Linked DNA regions of Oryzias latipes. The protein of the gene in region 1 interacts with the protein of each later gene in a pairwise test. Links are inferred from orthologs where the notes say so. Each region holds a gene or a part of one and is shown in the gene's direction. Other genes may lie near its edges. The genes, in order: protein-tyrosine kinase 6, exoc5, htt, F-BAR domain only protein 1 and khdrbs2.

Region 1 (7,001 bases):
CAGGTGTTGGATTGGGTTCAGATCAGGAAACATACTTGGCCATTTGATCACCTTCACCCTGTTTTTCTGCAGAAATGCAGCAGTAGCTTTAGAAATGTGTTTTGGATCATTGTCGTGTTGGTGAAGTGCTCAACGACCAAGTGTATGAGGTGATGGCAGCATCTTGTCCTTCTGTCTAGAGCAGTACATTGTTGAGTTCATGACACCATCAATGAAATACAGCCCCCCCTTCCACACCAGCATCACTCATGCAGGCCACATTAGGACACTGTCACCGCCATGTTTCACTGTAGGAACCATGCATTTCCTTTGAAATTCTCACCTTTATGACGCCATACAGTTTTAAAACCATCAATTCCAAAAAGGTGATTCTTGTCTCATCACTCCAGAGTATTGAGCCCCAGTAGTCTTCATCTTTTTCAGCATGGGGTCTAGCAAATTCTAGGCGTGCTTTATTGTGCATGGGCTTTAGGAAAGCCTTCCTTCATGGACGATAACCATGCATGTCATTCCTCTGCAGTGTGCGCCGTATGGTGTCACAGGAAACAGTCAATCCAGTATGACTTTCTACTGCTTTAGCTTGCTGCAGTGAAGTTGCATGGCGGTCTTCTTTAACTTTTCTCATCAGAAGACGCTCCTGTTGAGAAGTTAGCTTACGTGGACGGCCTGGAACAATATTCTTAACCTGCTGGCGCTGAAGAGTTGCTGGAGTCTGTCCCGGCGACTGTTGGGCAAAGGAGGGATACAGCCTAGACAGGTCGTCAACTTGTGGTCGCCCCCGTCGGATCCCATTACAGCAGCTCGCTATGACCGGCAGCGGAGCATGTTTGCTTGGGCCTCCTAAATCTTATGATTTATTTCATCTTTTCATAAAGACAATTATTAACCTTTTTGCTATCCTAGGCACTTTAACATTCTGAGATGGGTCATCTAGACCCACTAGACAGTGCTCTGAACCTTTTTTCTTCAATGATTTGTGAATCTTATCCCCTTTATCCGCCTTTGTCATTGTAGGAATAACACGTCAATGCAAGGGTGGGATCATCTAAGATAGCAAGAGGGTTAAAAGATTGTCTAGTTGGATTTTTGTTTTTATTTTTTCTCTCCTGAACTAACGTGGGTCACAGAGACACAGAAGTAGCGGAAGAAAGATCCTTTTGCAGCGGGAGACTGAATGAACTCATAAACCCAGACATGGAGAGGTGATTACTGATGGTGCTGCAGATCTTTTTTAAATGAATACATCCACGTCTCTGTAGGATAGTTGCACTTCCATCTTTATTCAATGTTTGGATCACTTTTGCTATGCTATTTTGACTGATATGTAAAGCTTTGCTGATCTTCTTGTAGTCCTCACCTTTCTTGTCCAAATAATTGATTTCCTGTCTCAGATTTTGTGACATTTCTTTTCCATGGGAAGCAATTGCTGACAGCGTGAAATGGGAAGGGCTGTTCTTTGTTAAAGAAATGCCCTTTTCTAGTCACCTGTGTGCTGGACACCTCTTCAATTAATTATTAGACTCGCCTGTGGTTGAATGCATGTTAATTAGAATTTGGTGGTCTTAAGTTTGGCTTTTCTCCTAAGACTATGACTGTAGTGAACTCATGTTTTGCAACATGGGCTTGAATAAATTTGTTTGGAAAATCACTTTTTTGTGTGTGCAAATGATCATATGTTGTTTGTAACCAATGGCCCACCTTTGGAGGTGTATAGTTTAGTATTTCACAGAAAATGTTGATTCTAAAAAAGACACCAAAGGTTTTCTGACTAATGTAGTGGGGATTACTCATTTATGATGAGCACTGTAAAGCTGTTCATTTAGTCACCAATGTTTAGGTCGACTGAGCGTTAGCATTAGCTGTCCTATGGAAAATTCCATTTTACGTTAGCATCAAGCTAGTGGACTTGGGCTTTACTGATGTTATGCGTTAGGTAACCAGAAAAGGAAAGGCATAAAAGATTGATCTCTACTTTTATGGATTGATTATTGATCTATTAAGCTTGGAGCAATTCCGATCAATTAATCGATTTTATCAAACCTGCCTTAGCATCACATGCTTTTACTAAGGCATGTGATTGGTCAGTTTGAAACTTGAATAACTTGCCATAAAAGAACGTCACTAAAAATTGGAGTATGTAGATGTTAAGGAAAAGTTATTCTGACCAACAGAATGACTGAGTATCAGCTGTTTATTTTTCTACAGAAGTCTGTGGGATTTTGGCTTCTTGGAGCCAGCAGAGACTTCCTGTTTGGGATGGGAGGGATGAGGGGTCCTGCTGTTCATATTTATAGTCAATGACTCTGGCACAGTTACGAAGCTTGCCCAGGACAGCATGTAAAGAGGGAATACAATGGTCATGAGAATTTTTAGGATATATAAAAATACTTTTGTTTTCTCAAACATCTGCAGTGCGTCTTACCCTCCGGTGTGCTTTATAAACTGAACATCCCTAAATGGAATCTGTTGGACAATCATTTTTCATTCATCTTAGACTGTTGTTATGTGAAATAATGTGAATTTACTGGAATGATCTGGACTGAAATGCTGGTTTACAACAACTATAACTGATAAAGCTCTTTGAAAACAACCTGACTATGAACTGGCGCCTCATGAATAAACAGAATCAGACGGAATAACCTTTAAAGTGTCTGATTACAATGCCTTTATTTTCAATGGATTATTACAGACTCGCATGAATCCACGCAAAAAGATAAAGGACTTATTGAGACTGAAGTGGTCTGGAGGACCCGGTCTGCCTCTGAGTGCAGCTTTTTGAGTGCTGTGTCAGATCATGCAGGCGGGGTTTTACTGCAGGGATTAAGGAAGTTACAGAGTTCCAGTTTCTGTGAAGCATTTCGAAGGCGCTCCATCACCTCCACCTGCCCGGCTGGTGCAGTGAGTAAGACACTTGCAAGAGCGCGGCCCCGCTGTGATCCATGGGTGAGTGTCTGCGGCGCGCTTTCCCGTGCCTGGGCTCGCTGTGGGACAGGATCTTTAAAGACAAAGAGGCTGCCCCTCATCAAGAAGGTGGAAGCACTAAGGAGGCAGGAGAGCAAGCCTCCGGGTATGCCACAGTGGAGAGCCCCCCAAGCGCGGTCACGGAGAGCGCCATCTACACGGCGCTGTGGTCATTCGAGTCCCGGCATGAGCAGGAGCTGTCCTTCGAGGAGGGGGACCTGTTCCACGTCCTGAACCGCAGCGGAGACTGGTGGACCGCGCAGAGGATCGACAGGACTGGGCGCGTGCTGGACACCGGGATCGTCCCATTCAACTACCTCACGCAGACGGAGAGTCTGCACGTGCAGCCGTGAGTGCACACGGGGCGTCATCCGCGCGCCTTCTCCTCGCTAAACACACAGAAACCGCAGCTTGTTTGCGCTCTGACCGAACACTTCCCGCTCTGCGCGTTCACCACTCACAGTCACAGCCAGGCGCTTTTTCAGTGATGGAGGGTTCTGATGAAACATTAAAAAAAAAACAACAAAAAAAAAAACATCCAACTCCAGATGAACACTAACATCCAGAAGAGTTTTTCTCTCAGTCACAACGTCTATGGTTAAAGCTAGTCCTGCCCAAAAGCAGAACAGGAGCGTCCATAAAACAGCATCACATTCTAGAAAGTATTAGTGGATGAAAAATAACAACGGAATTAATGTATTCAATTCAGATCACTTAGTCTCACATCATAATCAAGAACATCTGATGGAGCTGCACAAAAAAATGCAGAAAAAACACAAAAAAAAACCCTTAGATCCAGAAAAACAAAAACAAAATTTGACTGTTTTTGACTCAGTTCATGGAAGGGGTTGCAGAACTGCATGGTGGTGTAGTGGTTAGCGCTTTCCTCACAGTAAGAAGGCCCTGGTCTGAATCCCAGCTGGGTCCTTTCTGTGTGAAGTTTGCATGTTCTCCTGGTGCATGTGTGTGTTCACCAGGCGCTCAGGTTTTCTCCCACAGTCTACTAACATACTTCATAGTAGGGGGTGTAACAATTCATCGATTAATCAATGAATCCACTTCTGTTTCTACGATCCAACCAGATCAATCTGTCTGAACCAAGTTGTTAATCAAATTGATTTATACCATTATAACATTTTTCAAAATTAAATAAATCAGTTATATTAATATTGGAATAGTAAAACAGTAAGCACAACATTTTTTTACAACCTTAAAACGTTCATCACAGTGGACAACACGTGATGACAGCAAAAACTGATCTGTCCATCATTCCAGTCCAATGTGTGGAAACAATTTGAGTTTAGAAAGTCATGTGACCATCCAGTGTGCTAGAATGTTCTAAGAATGTTCCCTTTGGATTCTTTGGATGTGGAAAAATAACAGTGGACTGAACTTTAGGAAACTAACATGTGAATGGATTTGACATTCATTCTTATTAACTTGTTTGTTTGGACACATGTTTCCTTTACACTTAATGACATTGAAGAAATCCAAGAAAACGTCACCTGTTCTGTTCAGTAGCAGGTATTTCTCTCTGAGTCACACTGGTTGAAGTTTTCCATAAATATGTTTTGGATCAATTTTTAGTTAGTGAATCGGATCATTCAAAATGAACCAATTTTGATTATGAATCTTATCGTCAACCACAAATTATTAATATGAATCAAGTTGGTGATAACATGAATTGCTACGGCCCTACTTCATGTTAATGTGTGTTTGTCTGCGGCCCTGCAACAGACGACCTGTTCAGGGTGTACTTCACCTTCGCCCAACTGTGGCTGGGATAGACTACAGCAACCCCTTTGCCCCAACAGAATTCAGTGGAGTCAGAAATTGGATGAAGAGAAACAGGTGTGGAATATTTAGGAGAGGACAGGAAGGAGAGACAAAGAAAGACACTGATCTCTGCAGGAAGACAGACGGGAGTGGGTGCAACTGAGACAGATACATTTATGGATGCTAAAGACAACAGAAAGGAAAAGTCTACAGAGAAAAATCTGAGGAAAAACATCAGGTTTATTCTGGAGCAACTAGGCTACAGAAGCCTAGCTAGCAGCACTGCTTGTTATTACCATATATTATATTATATTATACATATTACCAGTCGCTTCATCAGGTCCACCTTGCTAGGGATTGGACCCCTTTTGTCTTCACACGACATAAAAACAGTTTCTTTCCCTCGGCAGTCAGACTCATGAAACACTTTTTAATCCCTCCCCCCTTAAACTTTTCACTTATACGTACCTGCACCTTCTTCATCCTCTGTTTACACTGTTTGCACTATTTATTTATATTTATTGTTCTGACCTTTGTGTTGTTTTTTATTTTGCTTACTGTTGTTTTGTTCATTTTTATTCGTAAGTATTGTATGTGGCACATTGGCACCGCAGCAAATTCCTAGTCTGTGAAACTGTTTTGTTCACTGACAATGGCAATAAAAAACCCTTGAATAGGTTGAATAGGTTAATCCTTGGCATCATAGGTCCATAGAAGCCAGGATGGATCCATGCTTTCATGTTGTTGACGCCAAATTCTGACCCTACCATTAGAATGTTGCAGCAGAAATGGAGACTCATCAGATCAGACAATGTTTTTCAAATCTTCTATTGTCCAGTTTTGGTGAGTCTGTGTAAATTGTAGCCTCAGTTTCCTGTTCTTAGCTGACAAACGGGCACCCAGGGTAGTCTTCTGCTGCTGTATGAATGCTCTTCTGTTGACCTCGGTTGGAACCAGTGGTTCTTTGAGTTCCTCTTGTCTTTCTATCAGCTGGAACCAGTCTGGCCATTCTCCTCTGACCTCTGTCATCAACAAGGCATTTCTGCCCACAGAACTGCTGCTCGCTGGATATTTTCTCTTTTCTGGACCATTATCTGTAAACCCTAGAGATGGTTGTGGGTGAAAATCCTATTAGATTAGCAGTTGGCACCAACAACCATGCCACGTTCAAAGTCACTTCAATCATCATTCTTCACCTGTCTACAAGGCTCAATGCCTTGTGTTTTGCTGCCATGTGATTGGCTGGTTAGAAATTTACGTTAACGAGCAGTTGGACAGGTGTGCCTAATAAAGTAGCCCGTAACTGTATTCACAGCAGAGGAGTCATTAATGCAGTCTGCAGGTTAAGAAGCTTCTTGTGTGGAAAGCTTGATGTGTCAGAATGTGAAAATGAAAAAAGTACGTTTGTTGTTTCCAAAACGTTGACCACTTTCCCAGCAAATATTAAAAAAATCAAACATTTCCTTATGACTTTGATCATTTCTCAAAGCAAGAAAAAGCTTTTGCTTTTTGTGATACCAGTAAGTACCTGACTTGTAATAAACTGCACTGATACCAGGAACAGGCTTATAAATCATTGCTTCCTTCTCATCATACTTTATTGTTATGGTATTTTAACTTTATTGCCTTTAGGTCTGAAGGTCAGTCTATGTAGCTGCCAAAAGATATTGACATTTTAAGATTTTTATGAATACACTCTCTAGACTTTTTTACAGAAGTCTAGGTTGGATTTACTGAATAAAAGGAGGAAATTATATTGCATCATTCATTGGCAGTATGGGGCTTAAGGTAGGGTTAATGGCCGACAAAATGTGCGTTATTAGAAATTAACACGCCATGGAAGTCTAAAACGTAAGACATGAAGCGAAGAATGGTTGCTTCTGCGAGGTGCGTTCATTTCTGATAATGCACACACTGAAGGCCATTACCCCACTTATACCAGTGTCACTTACAAAATAAATCAATATTCACTCAGTTGTTAGTACTTTCTTCTTGTTATTTTTCCATTTAGATGTTTTTATTTTATTTAAATTTTTTTACAAAAAGCTGACTATTTGTTACGTGGTGCTGCGTGTTGTCATGTTACCGTGACAAGGCGTTGCTTAGTCGGCTGAGCCGCCACAGAGCTCAACTGCAGCAGCATAGGAAAGCGATATATATGCTGATGTTCACAATGTGTTAAATAAAGCATCAGTTCAGAGAGAGAGTTCACCTCTTACTGCTTGTTTTTGTCCAGGTGATCAAGCTAAAGTTTGTTTTAAACA
Region 2 (5,904 bases), on another chromosome or scaffold:
CAGGGAATGAGTGTCTGTTGGGAGCGGATGGGAGACGTCTAAGCTGTAGCTAGTGCTGAAGGAATTAGAAGATTATACACTCATCGTTTCAGGATGTTTCCCACTCTCTGAAAAGTGGTGCTGACTTAGAACATTTGCACCGCAATCCTAATGGCACTTAAAATGCAGCTGACGAAGCTGAGAGTTTTTTTTAGAGCTTCTTAAGTCTAGGGACCCATGAATTAAGTATTTGACACTATTTTGTACCCCTAAACTGTAACTATACACCAAGTATTACCTTCTGATACCCAATTACTTCTTGAATTAGGGGGATTCGTGCATGTTTTTCAGTTTTTTTGTTTGTTTTTGTTATTTAATTGTGATGTGTTTTTTTTTACCCAATTATAGTATTTTTAATTTTTCTTCCTACTCTTCCTTCCTTTAGGCTGTTGGATGAATTTAAAAGCCACATTGAAGAATTAAAGCAGTTAGATGAGAAGATTCAGCGAAAGGTGGAAAAGCTAGAGGATCAGTGTCATGGAGAGGCCAAGGACTTTGCCCGCAAAGTGCAAGACCTCCAGAGGAGTAACCAGGTCTGTTTGCTGAAAGAAAACAACATCGTACAAACTTTATTCTCTTTGGTTAACCGCTAGATCTTCGTTTTGTGTCATGTCAGGTGGCCTTTCAGCATTTCCAAGAACTCGATGAACACATAAGCTACGTTGCCACCAAGGTTTGTCACCTAGGTGACCAGCTGGAGGGGGTGAATACTCCTCGCCAGAGGGCCGTGGAAGCTCAGCGTCTCATGACTTACTTTAACGAGTTTTTGGATGGAGATCTGCGTAGCGATGTTTTCAATGACCCAGACAAGGTGAGATTATCGTCTAGTTTCTTTTTTTTTTTTTTTTTTGCTGTCATATATGAAGAGGTATGTGTGGGTGTGAAACCACTGATGAGGGGCCCTGCTGGGAAACTGCTGTAGGTGAGTTTGAACAGGATTATGAGTTGAACCATCCATGGAAATTTATAAAGTTTATCCCTTTAGTTGGATCCCTCAGTTAATTTGGATTAATAAACTGTCATTTGCTGTCTGACAATAGCCGGCTGACTGACTAGCATGGATGTCAACACGCTCATGTCAAACCTAATTGCATGTAAAGTGGGATGACTGGGATCAAGAATTTGATTGGTCAGCTTTGCAACACACAGAAAGTTTGTTGCAACACATTTTTTTAGTCATGGAAAAAATGATTCAATGTTTTCTCAGAACAAGTGACCCCAGAGAGTTTGATTCTGCAAAGTAGACACATTGGGGTTTTTTTTGGGTTTTATGTGTGTTTGATGCAACATCTCAACCAGATGCAGAGAGGGAGGTTTGAGGGTCAATCCCACAGACGAGAGCTTGAGATTGAGCCATGCATGCAGATGTATCAAGCCAGATTCCTTTTTCCTGAGCATACCTCCATATGAGGAGGAAAGAGAAAAACTGCAAGTGAATAGCTGAAGGGGAATGGCTTTGCTAATCCTTCTGAAAGGGAGGGCTGGGCCGCCAGCGTGGAGACAAGTGCTGCTAAACCCTGACTGCAGGGAGACGGCTACATTACTTACATGGGATTTAGCTAATCTTAGCTGGGGGACAGATACTTAGAAAACCTTCGCCGAGCAGAAAGGCTGGATCCTCCTCACGGGAGCAGAGTAATGATGTTAGCTGAGACAGGCATCTGCAGGAACAGAGGAGTTGCGGACAGCGGACCTTTTGCGGGTCTGGAGGTTTTTTCGCCAGCATGTATGTCAGGAGAGGTGGAGAGGGCGGGGTGGAGGGGTATCTCGGCAGGGCCCCCTTTTTTTTAGACAGATATCCCTGGCCGGACAGATTATTGAAGGCAATTCAGACTCCTGTGGGATTACAGCCCATTCAGGAAAAAGCCATCCCAATAAAGACTTGGATGTGCTGCTAAGTCAGGACTGCTGCTGTTGCTGCTGCTGATGCCCAGGTGAGCGCAGCCTGTCTGTTATCAGCTCCCTGTTAAACACAGGAAGGTGGAGGAAGGCTGCTCTAAGATGATGATCCCCCAAGTGGAGACACTGCCGGCGGCCGCCCACTTGATAATGGATGTCCACCTCTAATGGCTTTGTTGTGCTCCCTCTCTCCTCCTCCCTCAGCTGGCATCTCCCTCGCTCCCTCTCAAACACACACTTGTTCCCTCTCTTTCAGATTAAGGAAGCTGCTGATATAATTCAGAAGCTGCATCTCATTGCCCAGGAGCTGCCATTTGACAGGTGAGTCAGGCATCCTGGAGGCAGCTTTAGACAAGAGCGCTGTCAAACAAGAAGGAGGAGGTGTATTAGTCTATTCCTGAAAAGTGTAAGCCCCACAGAAACATTAAGCATTAGATGGTATTATTGACTAAGATGCCCCCAAAGAAACTTTCCTTCTGTTTTTTTTATATCTATTGTTTCTAATTGCGCACTTTATCTGTAACAGATTTGCAGATGTCAAAGCAAAAATTGCAAGTAAGTTTCTGACCGGGTCGATCGTCCTCCATTTTTACTACGATGTAACACGCGTTTGCGACATTTTAAGGTTCTGTTTTCATTCCTGCCCAGGCAAATACCACGACCTGGAGAGGCAGTTAATCCAGGAGTTTACTGCAGCCCAGCGCAGGGGTGAGATTGGTCGTATGCGGGAGGTTGCAGCAGTTCTATTACATTTCAAGGTGACCTGGAAAAGACATCTGAAGACACGTTGACTGAGTGTTGGAGTCATAGCCTGTCTGAAAACATCAACTTTGAATGTTATAGTCATTTTCTTGGACTATCAAGGTGGTAACGCCTGTGTTTGTCTAAATAGGGTTATGCACACTGCGTGGACGTCTACATCAAGCAGTGTCAGGAAGTGAGTACTTCAAGTTTGGCAAGAAAAAAGTCTGCCTTTGACTTGGCTGCTTTAATTGACCCATTTTTTGTTGTTGTTCCTGTCTCAGGGTGCCTACACGAGGAACGATGTGTTTGAAGACACCGCAGCGCTTTGCCAGAGGGTCAACAAGCAGGTGGCCGAGGTCTTCAGCAGTCCAGAGACAGTCATGGCTAAACTCATCCAGAATATCTTTGAAAACAAACTACAGGTATGTTTTCCAGTGATTGAGTTTGGATGTGCCATTACTTAAACATTTGTTGATTTTTGGCTGGCTGTTTATTTTACAGGCGCACGTTAGAGAGAAACTGGATGGAACTCGACAGTCTGATGCAGAACAGTACCTCAAAAACCTCTATGACCTTTACACCAGGTGGTTTTGCTTGTCTTTTTCTAATTTACTTCCTGTATGCTCTATAACTCTAACACTTTTTGTTCTTATCTGTTTCTTTTCTGACCTTTCAGGACCACAGCATTGGCTACCAAGCTAACAGAGTTCAACCTTGGTTCAGACAAGCATACGTTCCTTTCCAAGCTGATAAAAAGCATCTTTTCCTCTTATTTGGAAAGTTACATTGACATGGAAAGGGAATACCTTCGTAATCGAGGTGCCATGATTCTGCAACGATACTATGACTCAAAGAATCACCAGAAACGTGCAATAGGCTCTGGCAGGTACGATTTAGCATAAACGTCATGAAGCATTTCAGAATCAGAAATACTTTATTGATCCCATACGTGGGAAATTTGTTCGTTACCATAACAACTGACAGGAGAAAAGACTAAGAATAATATAATTAATAATATAATTTAAAAAAAAAACAAGAACAAGGAAAATGTGGTATCATTTAAAGAGCCATTTTTGGTCTCAAATAAACGTTAGGGTTTCATACAAAAAGATCAAAATGCTAAACGTTTTTTTGTTTTTACTTTAGTATTCAGGAGCTCAAGGAGCGCATCAGACAGCGCACCAACCTTCCACTGGGCCCCAGCCTTGACACCCATGGAGAGACCTTCCTGTCCCCCGAGCTGGTTGTTAATCTGCTGCAGGAGACTCGGCACGCGTTTGAGAGGTGTCACAGGGTGAGCCTCTTCTCCTTCTGTAACGTGAAGGAACATGTATAAACGCAGACTTTGGTGATTTTTTGTTTTGTTTTATTACAGCTTTCAGATCCATCTGATCTGCCTAAAAATGCCTACTCCATCTTCCTACTGCTGGTTGAACATCTGTGTGTGGACCACATCGACTACGCTCTGGAGATTGGCCTTTCAGGTACTTCTGATGAACCAAATTGTACTCTTAAACTGCTTTCTGAGGGCTCATTCTTCTCACTATTAGGAGCTTCAAAGCAGTAGATTCAGGAAGTTGGGACATTAAATAAAGCATAACCTGAGGATCTCCCACAATAATGAAGAGCTAGAAACATTTTAGAGCTAGAATCTCTTTTTCACTAGCCGATAAGCATTAACATTTAATGATCAATATAGCTTAAGTTTGCGTTTGCTGCATTTTTCCTAAATTTTCAGCGATTCCCTCATCCGATGCCAAGAATGCCAACCTGTACTTCCTGGATGTTGTTCAACAGGCAAACTCCATCTTCCACTTGTTTGACAAGCAGTTTAATGACCAGCTGATGCCTCTTATAAGGTCAGTTGTGGTTAAGAATTATCATCTTTGTTTGTTATGCATACTCAGATTTCAAATTACCTTATTTATTTATTTATTTATTTTTGGGGGGGTTCTTTGAATTAAATTTTCTAAACCTGTCTTCAGTTCATCTCCAAAGCTGGCAGAGTGCTTGCAGAAGAAGAAAGAAGTGATCGAACAGATGGAAGTAAAACTGGACACTGGAATTGACAGGTGATTCTTTTTATTTATTTATTTTTTAAGCCATTGATCAACTTTTTTGTTTTTTATTTTGTTTTTTAACAGAAACCAATAATATATGTTTTTGTTATGCACAGAACACTAAACTGTATGGTGGGGCAAATGAAGCACATCCTGGCAACAGAGCAGAAAAAAACAGATTTCCGGCCCGAGGATGAAAACAATGTCATGATCCAGTACACCACAGTAAGAGATGCTTAGCTCGCACGCAGAACAAACAACGCATTGGATGCAATTCATAAAAATCACTTCCAGACTTTTTCCCAACTAGTTCTTCTCGTTTCCCTGACAGGCCTGCTCAAAGGTCTGCGCATACGTCAGTCGGCAGGTGGAGCACGTGCGCAAGTCCATGGATGGGAAAAACGTGGACACGGTGCTGACGGAGTTGGGGGTTCGGTTTCATCGACTCATTCACGAGCATCTACAGCAGTTCAGCTACAGCTCAATGGGCGGCATGCTGGCCATCTGTGACGTGGCTGAATACCGCAGATGCGCCAAGAATTTCAGGGTAATCTGTGACAAAAGGTCAATGTGTCTTTTGTGACTGACTGCATAAACTCTTTCTGTTATACTAATAATTATACCTAATTATTACTTTCACCATCATTTTGGTATGATGATTTCACAGCTGCTTCCTTGATTAAAAAAAAGTAAGATTGATCTGAATGCCTGATTGTTTTCATTTTGATTGTTAATTTCTTTTTTAAATGAAGCAATGAATTTTTGTTGAAACCATAATTCATATTGAGAACATCATACTTAATAATAAATGGATGAATTACCTATCAAGGTTTCTTGTCATAAGAGCATTGTTCCCCTGCCTCTTTCTGAAGTGATAAGCCGTTTTATTTCTTTCTGTTCACAAGGTCCCTCTGGTGCTTCAGCTCTTTGACACACTCCACGCCCTCTGTAATCTCCTGGTGGTTGCTCCTGACAACCTGAAGCAAGTTTGCTCAGGTGAGCATCTCACCAATCTGGACCGGAACCTCCTGCATGCTTTTGTCCAGCTCCGAGTGGACTACCGTTCTGCCAGACTGGGCCGACACTTCAGTTAATGACCGGAGAGCTCACTACTCCACAGACGGATCTGTGATTTGATGAGGGATACGCCTTTAAGATGCCC
Region 3 (6,271 bases), on another chromosome or scaffold:
CACCACTATCACATTGTTTCTAGGTTACACATAATTTTACATCATGAATATGTTCAGTCAGTAATCCAGAATGCGTGTTCATCATTTTGTACTCTTCCCCCCCTTTTTTTTTTTAGGAACAAAGGACAGAACGGCTGTCAATCTTACTCATCCTCCAAGACAAAATCAAACTTGCATTCTTATCTGTTATCCTGTAGTAAAGAAGTATTTTACTGAAATTAAAGTAGGATCTGGTCTAAGAGGTCCAATATATTTGACCCATTTTGCCCACCATTTCTAGCCTTTAGCTGTATGCCCCTTTATTGCAAATGTCAGACTTTCCATAACATAAATGTCATGTGTAGTCTTATACCAATCATCTAATGTTGTAACATCTGGTTATAACCAATTCCCTCCCACCAGCAATATTCTCATTAAATATTGGTCTTCTGCAGACCGCATGTGTTGGATTACTGCTCCCAAATATACAGCAGAAGCATTAAAGGGGAGGGTTTTTTGAAATGTCGTCTCCAAACATCAAAGGCTTTTCTTCTTCTCCTCCTCAGACGCCACAGCCTCTCCTCCACCAAGCTACTGAGCTCCCACTCCTCTGGAGAGGGCGAAGAGGAAAGCTGCGAGTCGCGGTTAGCCGTGGTGAACAGAGAGATCGTACGCAGTGGAGCCTTAATCCTCTTCTGTGACTACGTGGTGAGGAGGCCTGACTGCACACAGAGCGTCTGAATAACGTGTGACGGTGATGTTCGAATGTTGGAAACAAGGAAAATTCTCTTGATGTTATGCTTCTACGCTCAGTGCCAGAACCTTCATGACTCGGAGCATCTGACTTGGCTGATTGTCAATCACGTGCGTGACCTCATCGCCCTCTCCCATGAGCCTCCAGTTCAGGATTTCATCAGCGCTGTCCACCGCAACTCAGCCGCCAGCGGCCTCTTCATCCAGGCCATCCAGTCCCGCTGTGACAACCTCACTGCTGTAAGATGATCCTAACCTTTAGGTTTACATCAATCTCTTATTTTCCGTCCCAGATGACTTTTCTTCTTGCGGTTGCTCTCCTTCTGCAGCCCACCACGTTGAAGAAGACTCTGCAGTGTTTGGAGGGGATCCACCTCAGTCAGTCTGGATCTCTGCTGATGCTGTACGTGGACAAACTGCTGGATACACCTTTCAGGGTTCTGGCTCGCATGGTGGACACACTGGCGTGTCGCAGAGTGGAGATGCTGCTGGCTGAGACTCTCCAGGTAGAAAACGTATCATTTTTTTCTTTACTGAAGCTTCGGGGAAAACGTTCAGTCTGAGGAACAAATGCATTTATGACGTGTTTGTCTTTCAACCTGCTTTTTCTTTTCCACCCGATAGAACAGTATAGCCCAGCTACCTGTGGAGGAACTGGACAGGATCCAGGAATACCTCCAGACCAGTGGACTGGCTCAAAGGTTTTCCTTCTCTTTTGTCTCCATTTTTACATTTGAACTGCAATCTTAGGTTTCTGTGGCGCTTAAGAAGTAAAAAGAGTTTCTGGGTGCATTTGGGGGTCGGGTCCCCACTATTCTTTCTACAATCTGACCCGTGTCTGTGCCGTGTTTGTCCCGTGTTGGCCCAGTGTCCGTCCCGTGTTTGTCCCGTGTTTGTCCAGTTTCTGTGCCGGGTTTGTCCCGTGTTTGTCCAGTGTCTGTGTTGTGTTTGTCCCGTGTCTGTCCCGTGTCTGTCCCGTGTTCGTCCCGTGTCTGTCCCGTGTCTGTCCCGTGTTCGTCCCGTGTTCGTCCCGTGTCTGTCCCGTGTCTGTCCCTTGTCTGCCCCGTGTCTGCCCCGTATCTCTTCCGTGTTTGTTCCCGTGTCTGTCCCGTGTTTGTTCCCGTGTCTGTCCCGTGTCGACAGACTCTTGCACTAATTTAGGACTCCATCTGTGCAGCCATATTGGAAATTAGTTTGTCATTGTTTTTCATACAGACATAAGTGTGTGTGTGTGTTAGACAGCCTATCAGTAAATATTTACGCATTTCAAATACAGATTTTCTTTCTGTTACCCTCTCTGTGGTCCTCTACAGGCATCAGAGGTTCTACTCCCTGCTGGACAGGTTCAGAGCAACCGTTGCCAACAGCAGGAGCCCCACCCCTCCAGTGACATCACACCCATTGGATGGAAATCCACCCCCTTCCCCTGAGCAGGTTGTCGCTGATAAGGTGGGTTGATTTTTTTTTTTTTTTTTTTTTTTTTGTTTCTTTTGAAGGAAAAGACGAATAGGAAGGTTGTATCTCCAGTATTTGTCTTGCGTTCAGGAATGGTACGTGGCTCTGGTGAAGTCCCAGTGTGGTCTTCGTGGAGATGTTTCCCTGTCCGAGACGACAGAGCTCCTCACTAAACTACCTTCTGCCGAGCTGTTAAACACCATGAGCCGCAAGGTACGAACAGAAATCGAAAGGGCTCAACGGCAGTTTGGGTTTTCATGGCACAGTTTTTAGGGTGCAGCTTGGCTGTTGAGATGTGAAACTGCTTCTTCTCAGGATTTCAACCTCGGCCTGTTGTGTCCATCCGTGAGCGTGGGGGTTCAGAGGTTGGCACGAGGCCAGGGCCCACTTTTGTTGGAGACGACCTTGCAGGTCACACTAGATCAGCTGGCAGAGGTCACCGGGTCACTTCCTGTTCCACACCAGTCCTTCCTGCCTCCACCTGAACCCCAGCCTTACTGGGAGCAGCTGGCTGATCTGTACGGTGAGTCTTAAAGGGGAAGTGTGAGTTCGGTCTGTTTTTTTGCTGGTTTCTTGACTTCAGGACCTGTTTTTTTGTTTTTTTTTGGTCTGTCACTGTCGCAGACAAACCAGGTTTCTACTCCAGGGTTTTGGCGCTGTGCAGAGCGCTGTCCCAGTATTTACTGAAAGTGGGCCAGCTGCCTTCATCACTGCAAATTCCTTCTGACAAGGAGCACCTCATCACCACCTTCACCTGCACTGCCACAGAGGTAAAAGGACGGCATGTCTGAGATGCACCTCCACGCTGAGCATGTTGTTTTGTCACCCCACAGCCGAGCGGTCGCTAGTTTTTCAGCATCTTCTCTTCCTCATGAGTTTCTTCACATTAGCTCCCAAATATGTGATACGGGAGGTCAAAGTGTTGGACACTCTTGCTCCACATTTGAAAGCCTTTTCCCCATTTTTCTCTCCTCCGTGTGGAATCTGGCGCCCAGGTTGTGGCGTGGCGCCTGCTCCACGACCAGCTGCCCCTGAGTGTGGACCTGCAGTGGGCCCTGTCCTGTCTGTGTCTGTCCCTGCAGCAGCCCTGTGTCTGGAACAAGCTCTCCACCCCGGAGTACACCACCCAAACCTGCTCCCTCGTCTACTGCCTACGCCTCATTATTGTTGCAGGTATGCCACCAATGACAGCTGCTAACTCCGCCCCAATCACAAATGAAGGGAATCACTGTAGACCAACAGATGTTTACCCAAAGGCTCCAGTTATGTCTGAATTTTTAGGTCCTGCCTATTAGTCATCGTATTTTTCAGACGCCAAAACATGTATAATAAACAATAAAAATATGTATAAGTAACACTATTAGGAGATATATATTTAGCAAAGTACAAGACCAAGAATGGACATTTCATCTTGAAAGTCAAATCATAATAACTGACAATATAGGACTGAACATATTATGCACGCTTCACTACCGTAACCGTATTTAGGAAGGGTGTTCGGAAAAATCATTTTGGCGATACATCGCGATAGTTCATTTGGCGATACTTGTATTGATTCCAAATGCTGTCAGGACGACATTTATTGAATTATTTCTGAGCGTCCTTCAGCGTCTGACTCTCGTTTTCCACTTCAACCTCCAACCACTAGTTGGCAGCAGAGAACACGGAGCATCTTTGAGCAGCTCTACACCACATTAGAACAACAGGAAGCCTGCAGCCAGAGGCAGCTTGTTTCGTTGTTATGAGACATGAACTACTTAGTTTTTACTTAGGATGGTACCAAACTGAAACTCTGTCTCATGTTGCTGCCAGTAACATAAAAAAACAAGGATTGCGGCTCTTCATAGCGGCTCAGATGAGAACGAGTGAAACTCTGCAGCTGCACAGCGGCTGATGCACGGAGCCAAAATGCTGACAGCAAAGCGGTTCTACAGAACCTCCCAGCAATAGATTCTAGTTCAGAGACCTGATGGGTCAGAGTGATGTGTACAACGCTCTGAAAAAGGCTCATCATGGCGATGAACATAGTTAACTTCCACGTTTGAGAAAGCTGAGCTGCAGCTGCAGAGCCAGAGTCATGGAAATAAAGCATCTTAGGCACATTAAAGCGTCTCCTTCATCCGTTCGTGCTGCCTCATCATCATCACTTTAGTGTTTCTGCAAAGAATGAGTGTTTTTTTTCCCTCTTTACTTTTTAAGCACCATTCAGGCTCCTGAACCGTTTAAAAGTACTGGAGAAGCTACATTAATGTTGAAAATGAACAACTTTATTTACTCAATCCTACTTTTAGAACCTTACTGGTTGAGGCGCATTTATTCCATTTTCTTTTTTACTGTAATATATTTTGTTGTAAAAAATCAGACGATGTTTACTGTTCCCTTTCTATAGTTTAAGTTACCAAGCGCTACAAATAAGCATTAATTCAGAGCACCTTTGCATAGAGAACATGTTAAAAAGTTAGTTCTAAACTTTTGATATCACTTTAAGTCTCTAAATCCGTTAAATTCCTCCTCATCTGTGTCACTTTGGAACAACACTGCCGAGGACGGCGCTTCTTCTTCTGCATTGCTGTCGGTGGCAAACAGTGTTGCCAGATCTGAGCGACAGTTTCCAGCCCAAACTCATCGTAAAACCCGCCCACCAACTAAACAGGGGGATTACTGTAATGTTTCATATATTCACAATGCTTTTTTTACGCTATATATTAATTAGTATACTTTTACTTAATATTTTAAATAATAAGAAAAATAATAATAATGACAATAAAACCGCTAAATATTTTGAAAAGCAGCCCAAATTTTATAGACCCGCCCAATGCCAATTTTACCCGCCCAACATAACCAAAAGAAGCCCAATTGGGCGGAAACCCGCCCAATCTGGCAACACTGGTGGCAAATGCTGGAACACACATCTGCAGTGCCCTCTAGTGGCTGACAGTGAGAAAATACTGAAAACACAAGCCTGCTGTTTATAAAAAAATTAAATCACATATAAGTTGCACCTGAGTAGAAGTCGCAGCCCCACTGGTGTACACGGGTATACTCGGGTGCCTTTATTGGTACCTTGACCTGGAATGGATCTGGAGTCTTCCAAATGAATTGAAAGGTGTTCTTTGCTCTGCAGTGGCCGTGAGTCCAGGTGACCGCCTGCTGCATGCAGAGAAAAGACAGGCGGGGGACAAAGACGCTGATGCAGATGATGTGCATTCGGGGCGTGCCAAAAGTGAGATGTGGATTTTAGAAAATAACTTCACGTGATGTGGTTGTTTCTGTTGAGTCCAAGCGTTTTTTTTTTGTTTTGTTTTTCTTTGCAGACCCGTGTGAGTGGCGGGCATGTGAGATAATGGCGGAGCTGGTGGAAGGCCTGCAGAGCGTCCTCTGCCTGGGTCACCCCAAGAACTCTGCGTTCCCTGCTTTTGTTACCCCGATGTTGCGCAACATCATCATCAGTCTGTCCCGGCTGCCGCTGGTCAACAGCTACACCCGAGTGCCTCCGCTGGTCAGTGTTTAGGCCGAGCGCCGCAGCGGAGCGCGCTCCTTTGAGTGTCGATAGAGGATCAGTCGGTCTAAAACCCCGTATTCGTGCAGGTTTGGAAACTGGGCTGGTCCCCCCAGCCAGGAGGAGAGTTTGGCACCACGCTGCCAGAGATCCCCGTGGACTTCCTGCATGAGAAGGACGTCTTCAGAGAGTTTCTGTACCGCATCAACACTCTGGGTACAGAACGACCTCACAGCTTTAGGAAAAACCGCTTTGGTACTGTGAAGACGTTGTCTGAATCTTCTAACCCCGTCTGCATGGTTTCAGGCTGGAGCAGCAGGACGCAGTTTGAGGAGACCTGGGCCACGCTGCTGGGGGTGCTGGTCACCCAACCCATAACGATGGACCAGGAGGAGACGCAACAGGAGGTGAGCACTCAGCCCCACTTCAAGGTTCATTTAGAACAGGCTTGTTGAAGAGCTGAGTTCTGGTTCCTCTTGAGGTAGAGATTGTTGTTTGTGTTCTTTTATCCAAAAATGAGAACAAACCAAAAACATAAAGACTTGGTCCTCTATGACGGCATCAGATGGAAGCATCTGCTCTAAT
Region 4 (6,271 bases), on another chromosome or scaffold:
CGCTCCCCATGGTGACCATACAGGCCAGAAGGACGGAAAGCTGAAGGGAAGAAGTCTTTTCTTGTTAAAACCAGTGCAAATAAATTCAATAATTACATTAAAAAATTGGATTTAATTTTCGCTTTAGCTGATCTAAGAAGAATGTCTATTTTTAAACCAAAAGTTCTTTAGTTTTTAGACCATAAGATCTAACTTGTTTAAAGTGAAATGCTTATTATTTAAGGCAGAAACAATGTTAAGCTTTCCTAGAAATTGCAGACATAGGTTTCCTCAGATCCACTTTCTTCTAACTGTAACATTTCCAAGAATACTATTGAGTCCTAAAAATGTCAAAGTTTGATGTTTGCCCTTGACAGAGACAAAAGGAAACTGAATACAAGCAATGAGCAATGAGTACTCAAGTCTGTTTAATTTTCTAAAATGAAAAAAGAAAAACTAGATCCTGCATATAAGAATTCATGCAAATATGTTGTCCTCCTCTGACCCTGCTCAATTATTTTAATGAATATCTTTAAAAATTCACACAATACAAGGTATTGGTCAGTTCAAATATAAGCATCCCTGTGTAGTCTGAGATTGTCAGGGACAGTAACTCTTGGATTTCATCAAATTGGATTGGCTCCTGATGTGTCTGTTACTTTTCTTTGTTGAACAATCAAGTCGTTTTGGCTCCTAACAGCTGCAGCTTCTCAACAAAAACGTGTAATATCAGGGTACAAACACTGAATAGTTTTTATCAAAGGTAGATCAGTCAGTATTGATTCATCAGGTTCATCAACTGATTTTCTTTTAAAATAATTCTTGTATTTTATTATTTTGCAAAACAACTACTTTCAGTTTTTTTTAATAAGAATTCATCTTTTAATAGATACAAGATTCACTTTTTTTCAGTTTTCATCAAGAGTAATGGAAAAAGTGTTCTCTGTAACCAAATAAAATTTGATTCATACTAAATATATAATAAATTGTTAATTAAGTTGTGAGTTGATTTATGAAATTGCCAGAGATGCTTAGCCTCAGTGTGTGAAGAATTAACCTGCAGAAAGATTTTTTTAATGCAAATAGGCAAAATAATTGTATAAAACAAAATAACCTGGAAAAGCCTGTTTTTCAAATTTTACATATTTACTGAGATGATAGCTGAAACTTGCAGTAACTTTTTTTGATCATTTCATATAGCTGCACACTCAGTCCTGTGATAATTTGATTTGGGGGCGACAGTGGCTCAGGTGGTTGAGCGGGTCGTCCAATGATCGAAGGGTCAGCGGTTCGATCCCCGCTCCCACCAGCCAAAATGTCGTTGTGTCCTTGGGCAAGACACTTCACCCTCCTTGCCTCCAGTGTGGCTCCACTGGTGTGTGAATGCGCATGAATGATCCCGGTGATGGTCAGAGGGGCCGTAGGCGCGAACTAGCAGCCACGCCTCTGTCAGTCTGCCCCAGGGCAGCTGTGGCTACAACCGTTGCTACCATCACCAAGTAAGAATGAGGAGTGAATGAATTATGAACACAATGTAAGCACTTTGGGTGTCTTGAAAAGCGCAGATAAATCCATTATTATTTTATTATTATAAGAAGACTGATTTGAATTTTCCTTTACATGTACACAACCTGCTTTAGAGTTTTCTGAATCCGTCAGTTCATGCTGTGATAGTCTTCCACAAACATCCTATGGAGACAATAAACTTGCTCTTTTAGAAAATTAGGTGCCCCTCACATACTGTACCTGAAGATCTTGCTGTTTATTGAGATCAGCAGACTTTAATTTAGCCTTTTACCAACACACAATATTGGATTATTCTTAAACTAATAAACTAGTTTATTTTTGTCCTGTTCATTTAATTCTGTTTTCTTTACAAACTTCAGATCTTTGTCACAAAATCAAGTATAGTTAGAAATATTCGAGCTGGAGGTAGCAGAGCTGAAGATGGTAAGGTTCTCTTTGGGAGTGAGAATCAGGAGTGAAAACATCAGAGGAACAGATAATGTTAGATGCTTTCGACATTTGGACATGTTGAGAGTAGGGACACTGACTCTGCGGGGAAAAGGAGGCTTAAGAGACCAAGAGGAAGACCAAAAAGGAGGTTCAGGATGTAGTGAAGGAGGACATGAGGGTGGTTGTTGTGAGTCAGGAGGATCCAGTGGACAGAGTTGGATGGAGGTGGATGATTCGCTGCAAAAACCTCTATAGGAAGCTGCTGAAAGACAAAAAAAATGACAAAAATACCAAGAAAACATGACTGCACAAGTTCAAAATAATTCTAACATTAGTTATTTTTTTAATTTAGTCTATATTTGACAAAACATTTGTTTCTTCAAAAGCAATTACAAGATGAAGCGTCTCCTAAAGTCATTCTGTGTTGTATTAAGGACTTAACAGAGCAGTGAAGTGTGTGAGTGTCCTCCATCAATGCAACTTTAAAGTTGCATTGATGGAGGACACTTGTGCCCTTTCCTCATGGTGGATAAAATTCACTAGAGCAGAAAACAGATCCGGGATCAGGAAATGAAAAAAGCTGCGGGCTAAAATATTGGTATTCTGCAGGATGGACACATACACACAATGTCATATTACTTGCTGGAGTTAATATTTCTTTTTATAAATCCTTATCTGTGGGTCTATGCGGCAAAGAGACTTATTTGACCTCCCTGAAGATGAAAAGGCAATTTTTTTTTAATAATTAGTTTGACTAAAACATGGTTTGGGTATTTATATTGCACCACAGGACAAAATGTTAAAATCTAAATAAAAAAGACCATTTTTAATAAACTAGAAGCATATTTCTCAGTTTTTACTCTTCTGTTTATAAACGGATCAGAAATGCTTCGTTATGAGTAGCTCTGTTTTTTTTTTTTTTTTTGGTGAAGAAAGGTTTTTGCCCATTGCGTTTTTTGTTTTAACTGCACAATATAGTGAATGAAAGTGTCTCCCTGCTTACTTTGTAAACATGTCATTGTAGCTAAAAGGTTCATCCTCTTGTGTTGGTTAACGTCACTGAATTTTGAGTTACAACTAAAGAAAATATATTCACATTCCCTTACGATTTTGTTCATTGGCGTAACATACAGTTTGGTTTTTAACTGTGAATTTTGGCATCCCTGTTGACCTCTAAAAATACAAAGTGAACTAAATACAAGAAAGTTGCAAGTTTGTTTGTTTTTTTTACCCTCAGGCAGGTTGGATCAGTGCTTCTCCGTTCTATTTCCTTCGGGTCTACAGATGGTTGTGTTAAGTTTCATGATAGGGTTTACAAAAACTGGATCTGTTTATCATTTAAATGCAGCTTTTTGCACAATGTACCCAAACCTATCTTTTCCATTTATTGCCTTCCTGTCTGGATTTTTAGCATCCTTGATTTCCTCCTGGCTCAAAGTGACTCCCCTGATAGTTCTGCTTGTGTTGATGTTTGTTTGTATGTGGGTGTGTGTTTTACAGGGCAGCCATTGAGGAGACTTACTCGAAATCAATGAGCAAACTGGCAAAAATGGCGAGCAATGGGAGTCCACAGGGGTGAGTGACAGAAGAGCCTTCACTTTTCTCATGCTTCCTCTCTCTCTGTTCACTATTGCCCAGGAGGTGGTGTTGTTTTATAATTATTGATGTAATGTTCAGATGGCTGTGTATGAGATATGTATGAGTACCATCTGCAATACCAAATGTTCATACATATGATTAGAAGAACATATTGCCTTCTATTTAGCCTATTTGCGTCGAGTCACATGTTGCATCAGTTGTGTGAAGCAAACTGACGTAGGAACACAAAAGCAGGACGTGAGAAATTAGATCACTTGATTCCTGCAAATTAGAAAACCTTGCTCTGTGCTTTTTAATCTACATGCGTTTGCAAGCACTAATCCATTTTAAATGTCCTAATGTCCTAAAAAAATCATTTACTTTTATTAGTAAGATATTCTATTTAACCCATTATATTCATCAGAGGTGTTGTTGAATATATAACTGTCCCCTCTGACATAAGTGCTGTATTTTTGTTTTGCTACATAACATTGCATCCTGAGAAAGTGTAACATTGCGTCCTTTTTTATAAGTGTATGTCATTTGAATGATAGACAAAAAAGTCCAAACAGAGGAGGTCTGCAAAATATTTTTGTTATTTTTTCTTAAACTTAAAACTATTTGGTTTGAACTTTTGTCTTTTATTTGACAATGTTTTTCAGGACGTTTGCACCCATGTGGGATGTATTCAGGGTGTCCTCCGACAAAGTGGCTCTCTGCCACCTCGAACTCATGAAAAAGATGAACGATCTCATCCGGGAAATAAACAAATACGGAGAGGAGCAGGTCAAAATACACCGAAAGGTATAATTCTTGAGAAAAACCCATCCACTCCGGCTGTCTTAACCAAAAAGTGTCTGTTGTCAGTGTATCCCGCTGTAGACTTTCTCCTCTCTTGCTTTGCATCAAGCCTTTCCCATCCTGATCTAATCTGTTTCTCAGAAAATCCAATTACTGACCCCGCTCTTAAAGTCATTTTTACATTTGCCCTCCAAGTATAAAAGCACAGTGACGATTTGTGTGGCGTCAAGTCCCCTATTCTGAATGTGCGTGCGCTTACCATCCAGACGAAAGAGAAGATGGTGGGGACCGTGGAGGCAGTGCAGGCTCTGCAGGTTCAGAGCAGTCACCTTCAGAAGTCAAAAGAGGGTTACCACGGCAAATGTTTGGAGTTGGACCGGCTCAGAAAGGAGGGGGCACCACAGAAAGAACTGGAGAAGGTTGGATGCCACTTTGAAGATTTCTTTAGTGTGAATTCTGTACAACATTGATTCTCTTGACAGAAAATCACACAAGTTTTGTTTTCAAAACGTCGGCAAAAGCTACTTACCCACACTCATCCATTGTGTTATTAGCTCATAATTCTGCCTGTGTCTAGACCATTGACCAGATTCACAGAGATACAGATTCATACAGATTCGTAGAGTATTTGCAATGGGCTCCAACAGTTTTTTGCTTTGTGGTTGACTCCTTCTCGCCAGGCCACAAGGTCACTTAACCCCGACCTTCCGGAAAAGGTCAAATATGTGGAACAAACAGGCCTGACGGATGTTAAATCACGGCCAGGAGGTCATTCAAAGCTTTGGATTTGACTGCCACTTGTCAATTAAGAGTGTACCTTCAGAATGTGCAGAATTACTGTCAAAATTAAGAAAAAATTGAACTTTAGATAATCTCTTATAGTGTTCTCGTAGAAATAAAATCTACAAATAGAGATGAAAAAATTCATCAAAGATTGACTGTAACAAGACCCCCTAGTGGCTATTTGGAGAACTGCTTCAGTCACTTTCCACATAATTCAGTTTAATGGTGTAACGTACATTTCAGTTTTCAACAGACAGTTGTGACATCTCTAGTAATGGCTCTATATCAAAATTCATTCTGTGTGCTGCATGTCTACAGATAAATCAGATCTGTTTATTCTGTTAGTGTGGTCTTTAATTTTATTTCAGGTGACTGGATGAGAGGACCTTAAAGGGCATTATTAACGTATCTCTTCTCCTCTCACTAGGCGGAGCTGAAGTCAAAGAAAGCGGCTGAATCGTTTGCATTGTGTATCGAGAAATACAACCGTGTGGGAGGAGAATTTGAGCAGAAAATGAGCGAGTCCGCTCAGGTCAGGTTTGACTCCAGCTGGACCAGAAGTCTCTCCTCTGATGTGGGATTTTATGTCATGGGATTCCTCCTCCAGAGTTCCCTGACTCACCGTCTCTGCCGCCTCCCACCATCTTATCCACTCTTTTATTGCATTACATCCCACCCTCCTTGAAAAAGAGGAAACCTCATCCTCTGACTCCCAAACCCACCTACTCGCACACACATCCTGCAACCTGTTCATTACCTTTAATCACTGTCTCCATGCTTCCATGGTTACCGCTCTGTTTCCATAGAAATCGTCCACAAACACCGATCAGAGTTTCTGTGTTTTATTTTGAAACGATGAATGAACTCGTAACCATTAAATCTTGTACCAGCCCTGAAGGAGGGGGGTTTAAGTGTCATGATGAGGGAAGATGTTACGCTTGGGAAGTAAATCATGCCGCAAGTCGTATGTTGAAGTAAAAAACATATTTGTTTATTTTCTGATCAAATAGATAAAATAGATGGTACAAATTTGAGGTACCTGGTACGTGTCTGTCCAATGTCACACGAAAGACGGCTGGGAAGCTTAGAATTTGAAATTATTTATTTATTTATTTTACTAGTGGATCACTCCCCCCAAAAAGTTGTAGTAATAATAATAATTTGGTATTCACAG
Region 5 (6,271 bases), on another chromosome or scaffold:
AGGCCACTCTTCTTCTATCACCCAGCGAGCGCCTTCCTGATGCTCCCAATCCTGAGCTGCTGCAGCAGCCATCTGCTCTCCAGCTCCCTGCCAGCTCCAAGAGTCCTGTCATAGCTGCTCTAGTGAGAAGGCATCTATATAAAGGTGCCTTCATCAGTTAGAGGACGGTCAAGGACAGTGATGACCTTGCCCTTGCTTGGTATTTTTTGTCCGTTTTTTTTTTTTGTTTGTTTGTTTCATCAAATGTTTAGGCCTGGTTTCAGATTTCTTTTGTGATGTTAATGAAATAAGATGAGCGTGCACTTTGAGGCGTTGAATTGCAGCAGGCAGGCGCAGCTGGCAGTTAGTTATTAGCTGCTCAGGCTCAGTGGGAGTGGGAGCTTTCTGGAAAGGTTAATGTGATTTAAGGGCTGGGCTGAGTGTGCTGTAGTGGGCAGATGACCACCTGTTCAGCTCTGAAGGTGGACCATGCAAAAAAAAAAAAAAAAAAAAAATCACAATAGAAGGATCTGACCCTAATTATTGAACATGCTTTGGTAAGCTAGAATACATTTATAGACTTTCTTTGTGTGCTTCCATATTTTCTTTAAAATGACACATTTGACTATAGCTATGTGTTTTACTGTTTGGATTAATCACTGTTAATCTTGGGGGTATGCTGCCAGTATCAACCCACTGCGATACTTTTCTCAATATGAACACTAGCTGGTGCACGGTGAGAGAGAAATGATAGTCAGAACCCTGAGGCGTGAATCTGATGGTTTGTCATCTGGATAGTATTACTTAATTTCCCACTGGGAAGAAACTCATTATTTCTGACTTTATCTCAGCACTGACCTCTGGAACCGTCTCAGCGATGTTTCAGCAGCGTTATTAGTATGGGTCCATGCTCTCTTTCTTTTTCCTCCCCCCTTTTTGAATCCAATCAGATGATCCCAAATGTCAATAGAATGCACAGGTGTCAAGGGTGCAGCCCGAGCTAGAAAGAGACACATGTGTCATTCTGAAACGCAGATGAGAACATTCACCTTTAATGTGCTAAACACAAGTGCAATGATATTGATTTATTACTGGTTGCATTACAGGTTTACCTCATGATGAGCAGCAAGTGGAACATGAGATTATTCTTTCAATAACTGACTATTAGATGGAAGGTGTCTTTTATGTTTAACCTTTTTCCCAGAACGTCTGAATTCCTGCATGCTGCTAACAAATTTGGAAGTATTTGTTTTTCAAAATATGATTGGTGTTCTACCTTAACGCTGGCAGTACAAATAACTTCCCCAAATCCCTTTTATGTCATAGTTTAACTTTGTGGGGAAGCTGCTGGGACCACGGGGAAATTCTATGAAAAGATTACAAGAGGAGACGGGAGTGAAGATGTCCATCCTTGGCAAAGGGTCTATGAGGGATAAAGAAAAGGTGAGATATATTGATTTGTGTTGTAAAAATGTTTTTCTTCGCACTCTCATGTGTTCCTCCAAGAGAAGTCTTCATAGAAATAAAAGGATTCCGCCAAAGCACGGAGGAATATTTCCACGAAACCACTGAGGAGTGACTGAGATCAGCAATGTTCACAAGAATTAATAGCTTCCACTTGACAAATACATGTAGGCAAAACTGTAGTGTGTTTTTTTTTCGTCTTGTTTAATAGCATCTTCTGTAATAGTCAATTATGAATGCAAAGTAATTGATCTCTCTGCCTGAGTCATTTATCTCTCTGACTTGGGATCCCCTGAAGCTAAAAAGTGAGCACAGACAGCTTTTCTGAGTCAAAGACTATAACAGTTGTTGGAGAAGCGATATTGATTTGCGTTGCTATTATTACTGTAATCTCTGATTTGGACATCTTGACATGAAAAAGAAGTGCAGAGTTACCAGCTCTTCAGTGAAACTTTAGCTATGTTTCAATATGTCAAGCAGAGGCAGATGATAACATAATAGAGGGAATTTATTGCAGCTTTAAAAATGATGTAATTGATTATTTTAGAGAAAAAAATCAACAATGAAATGAGGGGTTAAAGTGAGTGTTGACTAAGGAAGTATGGTTATCAGATACATTTGAAGTTATCTTTTTCATGTATTTTCTGTCATTTAAACTGCAAAGCAAAAATTGTGGCGTTTTTCTTGTCTTACTGCTTATCATTTTTGTCCAACTTTGCCATCCTTCATAACTGTGGTTGGCAAAATAAAACAAAAGAGGACAATGTTAAATCACTAAATAACTAAAATATCATTTAAAACACCAAACTGGATTGGAACTTGACTAAATCAAAAATAATGGCAGGTTTAAAAAAGAGGATCCCTAATTAAATCCCAAATCCTAAGAGCTTTTTAAAAACACTGACAGTAATTAGCAAGCTAAAACTAGATGTGATGAATGAAAACTCGTGGTGTGAATGTGATATGAGGGAGGAGCAAAACCCAAAACACAATTTTTCACAACCAAAATAAAACAAAAAATAAACAAGAAACCTCAACTAAAGTCAATGATCCTTAAAAATGTTCCCCTTTGATTTGTATGCAGGAAAACCTCATTCATTGTGGATTAGCACTGTATGCTTCTGCCTGTTTTCTTTACACTGCCATTGATATTCCAGTTGTTCGGCTTCCAAACAATTCAAACATAATTTTAAGGAAGATACTTTCTGACCCTGACCACAAGCAATGCAGAGTAAGCGTTGTATAAGGCAAGTGTATAAGATGGAAGTTAACACTGTTCATGCAGCTGTGCTATGTAGAAAAAATAGTCTCACTAGATTTGTGTGTGCATAATACTTGTTTTTCAATTCATACAAAACATTTTGTGTGTAACTGTGTATTCACATACAAACAAATATCAAAAGCACACAAATAGAAAACAACTTGAAATTTCCGCTTAAAACTAACCACAGCTCCTATGCATAGAAATCTTTAAATAGTAAGCACTGAATGCCTGATACACGCACACAAAACCATATTTACACACCAATTGGAGTTACAGGTGCAGGACAGGCTGTGAGACTCTTTTCACACCTCCGGATTTGTCCATAGATGATGCATTTAAATGCTGCTAAAATGCTAGGTCATCAGAGTTTTCCTAATTAGCCACTTTGAACTCAGATTGTGAATAATATCTAGTAGAAACTTGACATTTTTCCCACTTTTTCAAGTATACCGTGATGTACAAGATGTATTGTAGGAGTTACAAATCGAGGATCAGACAATCACAAATCTGACTATTTTCTATCCATACAGCACCTTCAGAAATGGGTCATCAATTTTACTGGAAAGCATTTAGGACAAAACCTGCAACTTGTGAACATAAAAGAGTGTTAATTTTTAAAATAACTTTTTTTGTGATTTTAAAATATGTCTTTAATTGGTGTATTTTAGCTTTTTAGGTAGACAATTTTTAAATCTGTCCGGAGATGAAAAACAACCACTTAGCTAATTCAGGCTCATTGCATGGAAAGCTTTTAATCTGCTGTGTCCCTGAGAAATAAAAAAAGTTTAAATTGAAATAATGAAAATAAAAAAAAGCTCAAGAAATTTCAAAGTTTTTTTTAAAGTTGAATTACTTTAAGGCCAAAATCACACGCTTACATTTGTACATTTAACATATCATATTTCAACCTAATCACAAATACTTAGATTATTTATTTATGTATATATCATTTGTGCTTTTCCTCAAGTCAGCAAAAGTCAACAGAAACATGGAATCGTAGGGTTAAGTATCATCAGTACTTAAAGTTTGGCTACTTTTTTCCCCTATACAAATCAGTTATTCTCTACTCATAATTGCTTGATAAATTTCATACAAGAAATTGAATTAATTTATAAAAAAAATTCATTAACTGCCAAATATTATTTTAGCAACAAAACAACAGGATGACACTGACACTGACTTCACTTTGACTTAATGATGCAAACTTTACTGCTGCAGTTTCAGAGTGCTGTAGAAATGCGTGCAGCTTAGTTTAACTAAAATACAAGAGGATGTATTACCTTTTCTAGCTGTAAAGCAAACCATTCTCTTCTAATAAAACAACATATGAAATTTTCTAGTATAATTTAAGTATTTTTATTTAAGCAAAACCCAAAACACAATTTTTCACAACCAAAATAAAACAAAAAATAAACAAGAAACCTCAACTAAAGTCAATGATCCTTAAAAATGTTCCCCTTTGATTTATTACTTTTTATTGAAAGTAATACAATTGCAAACCAAGTATTAAATTAGTACTGAAATCAAGTTTACAAAAATTTCAAAGGGCAAAAAAATGTAATGTGACCAATATATTTACTTTTGTTTGTGGTCAGGAGTGAACCTGTCAGTGTATCACTGCATTTATACTTCATAATTTTCTTACCACAAAAAACAATTTATGCAAAAAGACAATATCATGCAGTTTAATATTATTATATATATTGTATATTTCTTGACAACTCAAAGTAAAAAGCCTATTGTTTTTTTTTCTGCACTTAAACATAACTCAATTCTGTTCAACAGATCATTTTAAAATAAGAGCACAGTTTTTATGACTTTATTCATCTCCTGCATATCAATTTGTGTTCAGGCTAACACATTGACACTCAGTTTTTATCAGCAGTAGCAACATACTGTTTTGGCTTAGAGTTTTCAGTTTGTTTTATTGATCTGGAGCAGCATCCGAACTAGCCTGAAGGTTTTGTGATGAGACTGACACCCAGAGGTCACGAGTGAGAGGTTTACTGCTGTTCGAGCCAGCTGGCAATGCAGCAGCACCGAAAAGACACATCCAGAGTTCAATTACAAGCAAAAACACATCATCAACTCAGGTTTCTGGAGCCAGGTTCAAATCCTCGAGAGGCTACGTCCATCTAGCAGGATGCTCAGATTTCAGCTTTGGAAAATTCATATGGAAAACAGCCCAACAGCCTTTTGTTTGGCCCACTTGGTGCAGAAGTAATCAGGTTAAGATGCTGAGGCACACAGTTGTACATTTTTAATAGCACTTCAGTGACACAGATGTGTCAGGGCAAATGTTTGCAAGTGTTTGTGATTTGAAAACAATGTCAGCCCTGACCTACAGATAGGAGGAGGATGCAATAAATCCTGTTGTGTTCTGCTCTTATCCTCAGACTTATCCTCAGATCAGAAACATTACTATTAATTAGTTGGCTGTCATAAATTAACATCATCCACTGATGTTTTAAAACTCCACTCCCTACTTTAATTACTGTCACTCGTTAGTGATGAAGATTCATTAAAGGCTAGCGTGTAGTTAAAAAACAACAATTAGAAAAGTCTTCTAAATGCCAGCTATGATGGCAAACACCTGTTTACCCCTGGGATGTTAGAAAACACTTTTTATTACTCTAAAATTGGGCTACAATCACAACCCTGTTAGCACCCCGCTCTGCCTGTCTCTGAAAAATTACAACCACATCCCAAAAAGATAATAAAAACTCATGTTGTGTTTAACACCAGTTTGCCACAGGAACAAAGTAATGTTTGTTTAAACCTAATTAAACCAAAGAAGATAAGGGAAATTTATTTTTCTTTTGCATTTTCCTAAATTCTCTTAAGCTGCGTGTGACTAAAATGCTTCAGTTCACTGAACAGACAAACCTTTTGCTGTTCTAAGCTACAAAGAAGCTTTGCATGTGCAAAAAGTCTGCAGCAAAGTGCAACTACAAGGAAAACATGGAGGTGCAAGTTTTGAGCTAATCTATAACTACCTGACCGAGCAAGTAAAGAGTGCTGAGGTGCTGCTACTATTTAATTAACAGCAACCTCTCCCAGAGGAGGGAAACAGTTTTGTGATGCAAGGACAAGGACCGATCTGCTTTATGAAAGCGCATGAATGGCTCTCCAACTTTTCTTAGCAGCTACCATCAAGCTGTCCTTGGGAATAGCACCTAAGGTTCGATGCAAACCTCAGACATAATTCGGATTACTGAGGATAAATCGATGTAACAGTAAAGTGTTTATTTTAAAACACAGTTGGCTGTGGCCCCGGGCTTTAGGAGCTTTATGCGCTTCAAGTCTGAATGAAGCCTCAGGCATGATTCGGCAGATTAAGGGGAGTCAAAGGTGATTGCACTTGTTTTGCTTTCTGCGGATTTTCTAAACGTGACCTGTCAAACGTGACATGTCAAACAAAGCATTACTAGAGTCGTAAAAACATTTCTGCATTTTTTTTTATGAAACCACTGGATCGCTTTTAAGAAAATTGAAGTTTGTTAGTAATGTTTTGGGTTTAACTTTAAATGCACCGTTGTGTGCACAGGTAAAGTAATTTTTTTA

The links.
Region 2: the proteins of protein-tyrosine kinase 6 (region 1) and exoc5 interact in binary tests that used the Homo sapiens proteins (3 or more experiments, as listed by UniProt). The two-hybrid records come from large-scale screens. The link is inferred for Oryzias latipes from reciprocal best matches to the Homo sapiens genes PTK6 and EXOC5.
Region 3: the proteins of protein-tyrosine kinase 6 (region 1) and htt interact in binary tests that used the Homo sapiens proteins (3 or more experiments, as listed by UniProt). The link is inferred for Oryzias latipes from reciprocal best matches to the Homo sapiens genes PTK6 and HTT.
Region 4: the proteins of protein-tyrosine kinase 6 (region 1) and F-BAR domain only protein 1 interact in binary tests that used the Homo sapiens proteins (3 or more experiments, as listed by UniProt). The two-hybrid records come from large-scale screens. The link is inferred for Oryzias latipes from reciprocal best matches to the Homo sapiens genes PTK6 and FCHO1.
Region 5: the proteins of protein-tyrosine kinase 6 (region 1) and khdrbs2 interact in binary tests that used the Homo sapiens proteins (3 or more experiments, as listed by UniProt). The two-hybrid records come from large-scale screens. The link is inferred for Oryzias latipes from reciprocal best matches to the Homo sapiens genes PTK6 and KHDRBS2.

The regions. Positions count from the first base shown.
Region 1 is NC_019865.2:29,675,462-29,682,462, reverse strand, and holds the start of protein-tyrosine kinase 6, read left to right. Parts: upstream 1-2,675; 5' UTR 2,676-2,939; coding exon 2,940-3,310; intron 3,311-7,001. UniProt on the Homo sapiens protein: Non-receptor tyrosine-protein kinase implicated in the regulation of a variety of signaling pathways that control the differentiation and maintenance of normal epithelia, as well as tumor growth.
Region 2 is NC_019880.2:12,939,996-12,945,899, reverse strand, and holds part of exoc5 (exocyst complex component 5), read left to right. Parts: intron 1-424; coding exon 425-572; intron 573-655; coding exon 656-850; intron 851-2,194; coding exon 2,195-2,259; intron 2,260-2,464; coding exon 2,465-2,493; intron 2,494-2,586; coding exon 2,587-2,696; intron 2,697-2,830; coding exon 2,831-2,875; intron 2,876-2,963; coding exon 2,964-3,104; intron 3,105-3,183; coding exon 3,184-3,266; intron 3,267-3,358; coding exon 3,359-3,568; intron 3,569-3,828; coding exon 3,829-3,976; intron 3,977-4,057; coding exon 4,058-4,166; intron 4,167-4,420; coding exon 4,421-4,541; intron 4,542-4,667; coding exon 4,668-4,754; intron 4,755-4,858; coding exon 4,859-4,967; intron 4,968-5,073; coding exon 5,074-5,289; intron 5,290-5,647; coding exon 5,648-5,836; 3' UTR 5,837-5,904. UniProt on the Homo sapiens protein: Component of the exocyst complex involved in the docking of exocytic vesicles with fusion sites on the plasma membrane.
Region 3 is NC_019859.2:35,171,125-35,177,395, reverse strand, and holds part of htt (huntingtin), read left to right. Parts: intron 1-545; coding exon 546-687; intron 688-792; coding exon 793-972; intron 973-1,061; coding exon 1,062-1,238; intron 1,239-1,356; coding exon 1,357-1,433; intron 1,434-2,045; coding exon 2,046-2,181; intron 2,182-2,259; coding exon 2,260-2,400; intron 2,401-2,502; coding exon 2,503-2,710; intron 2,711-2,811; coding exon 2,812-2,957; intron 2,958-3,182; coding exon 3,183-3,360; intron 3,361-5,311; coding exon 5,312-5,410; intron 5,411-5,501; coding exon 5,502-5,686; intron 5,687-5,775; coding exon 5,776-5,902; intron 5,903-5,992; coding exon 5,993-6,093; intron 6,094-6,271.
Region 4 is NC_019862.2:14,990,930-14,997,200, reverse strand, and holds part of F-BAR domain only protein 1, read left to right. Parts: intron 1-3,435; coding exon 3,436-3,510; intron 3,511-4,175; coding exon 4,176-4,317; intron 4,318-4,580; coding exon 4,581-4,733; intron 4,734-5,524; coding exon 5,525-5,629; intron 5,630-6,271. UniProt on the Homo sapiens protein: Functions in an early step of clathrin-mediated endocytosis. Has both a membrane binding/bending activity and the ability to recruit proteins essential to the formation of functional clathrin-coated pits.
Region 5 is NC_019873.2:24,519,561-24,525,831, reverse strand, and holds part of khdrbs2 (KH domain-containing, RNA-binding, signal transduction-associated protein 2), read left to right. Parts: intron 1-1,305; coding exon 1,306-1,422; intron 1,423-6,271. UniProt on the Homo sapiens protein: RNA-binding protein that plays a role in the regulation of alternative splicing and influences mRNA splice site selection and exon inclusion. Binds both poly(A) and poly(U) homopolymers. Phosphorylation by PTK6 inhibits its RNA-binding ability.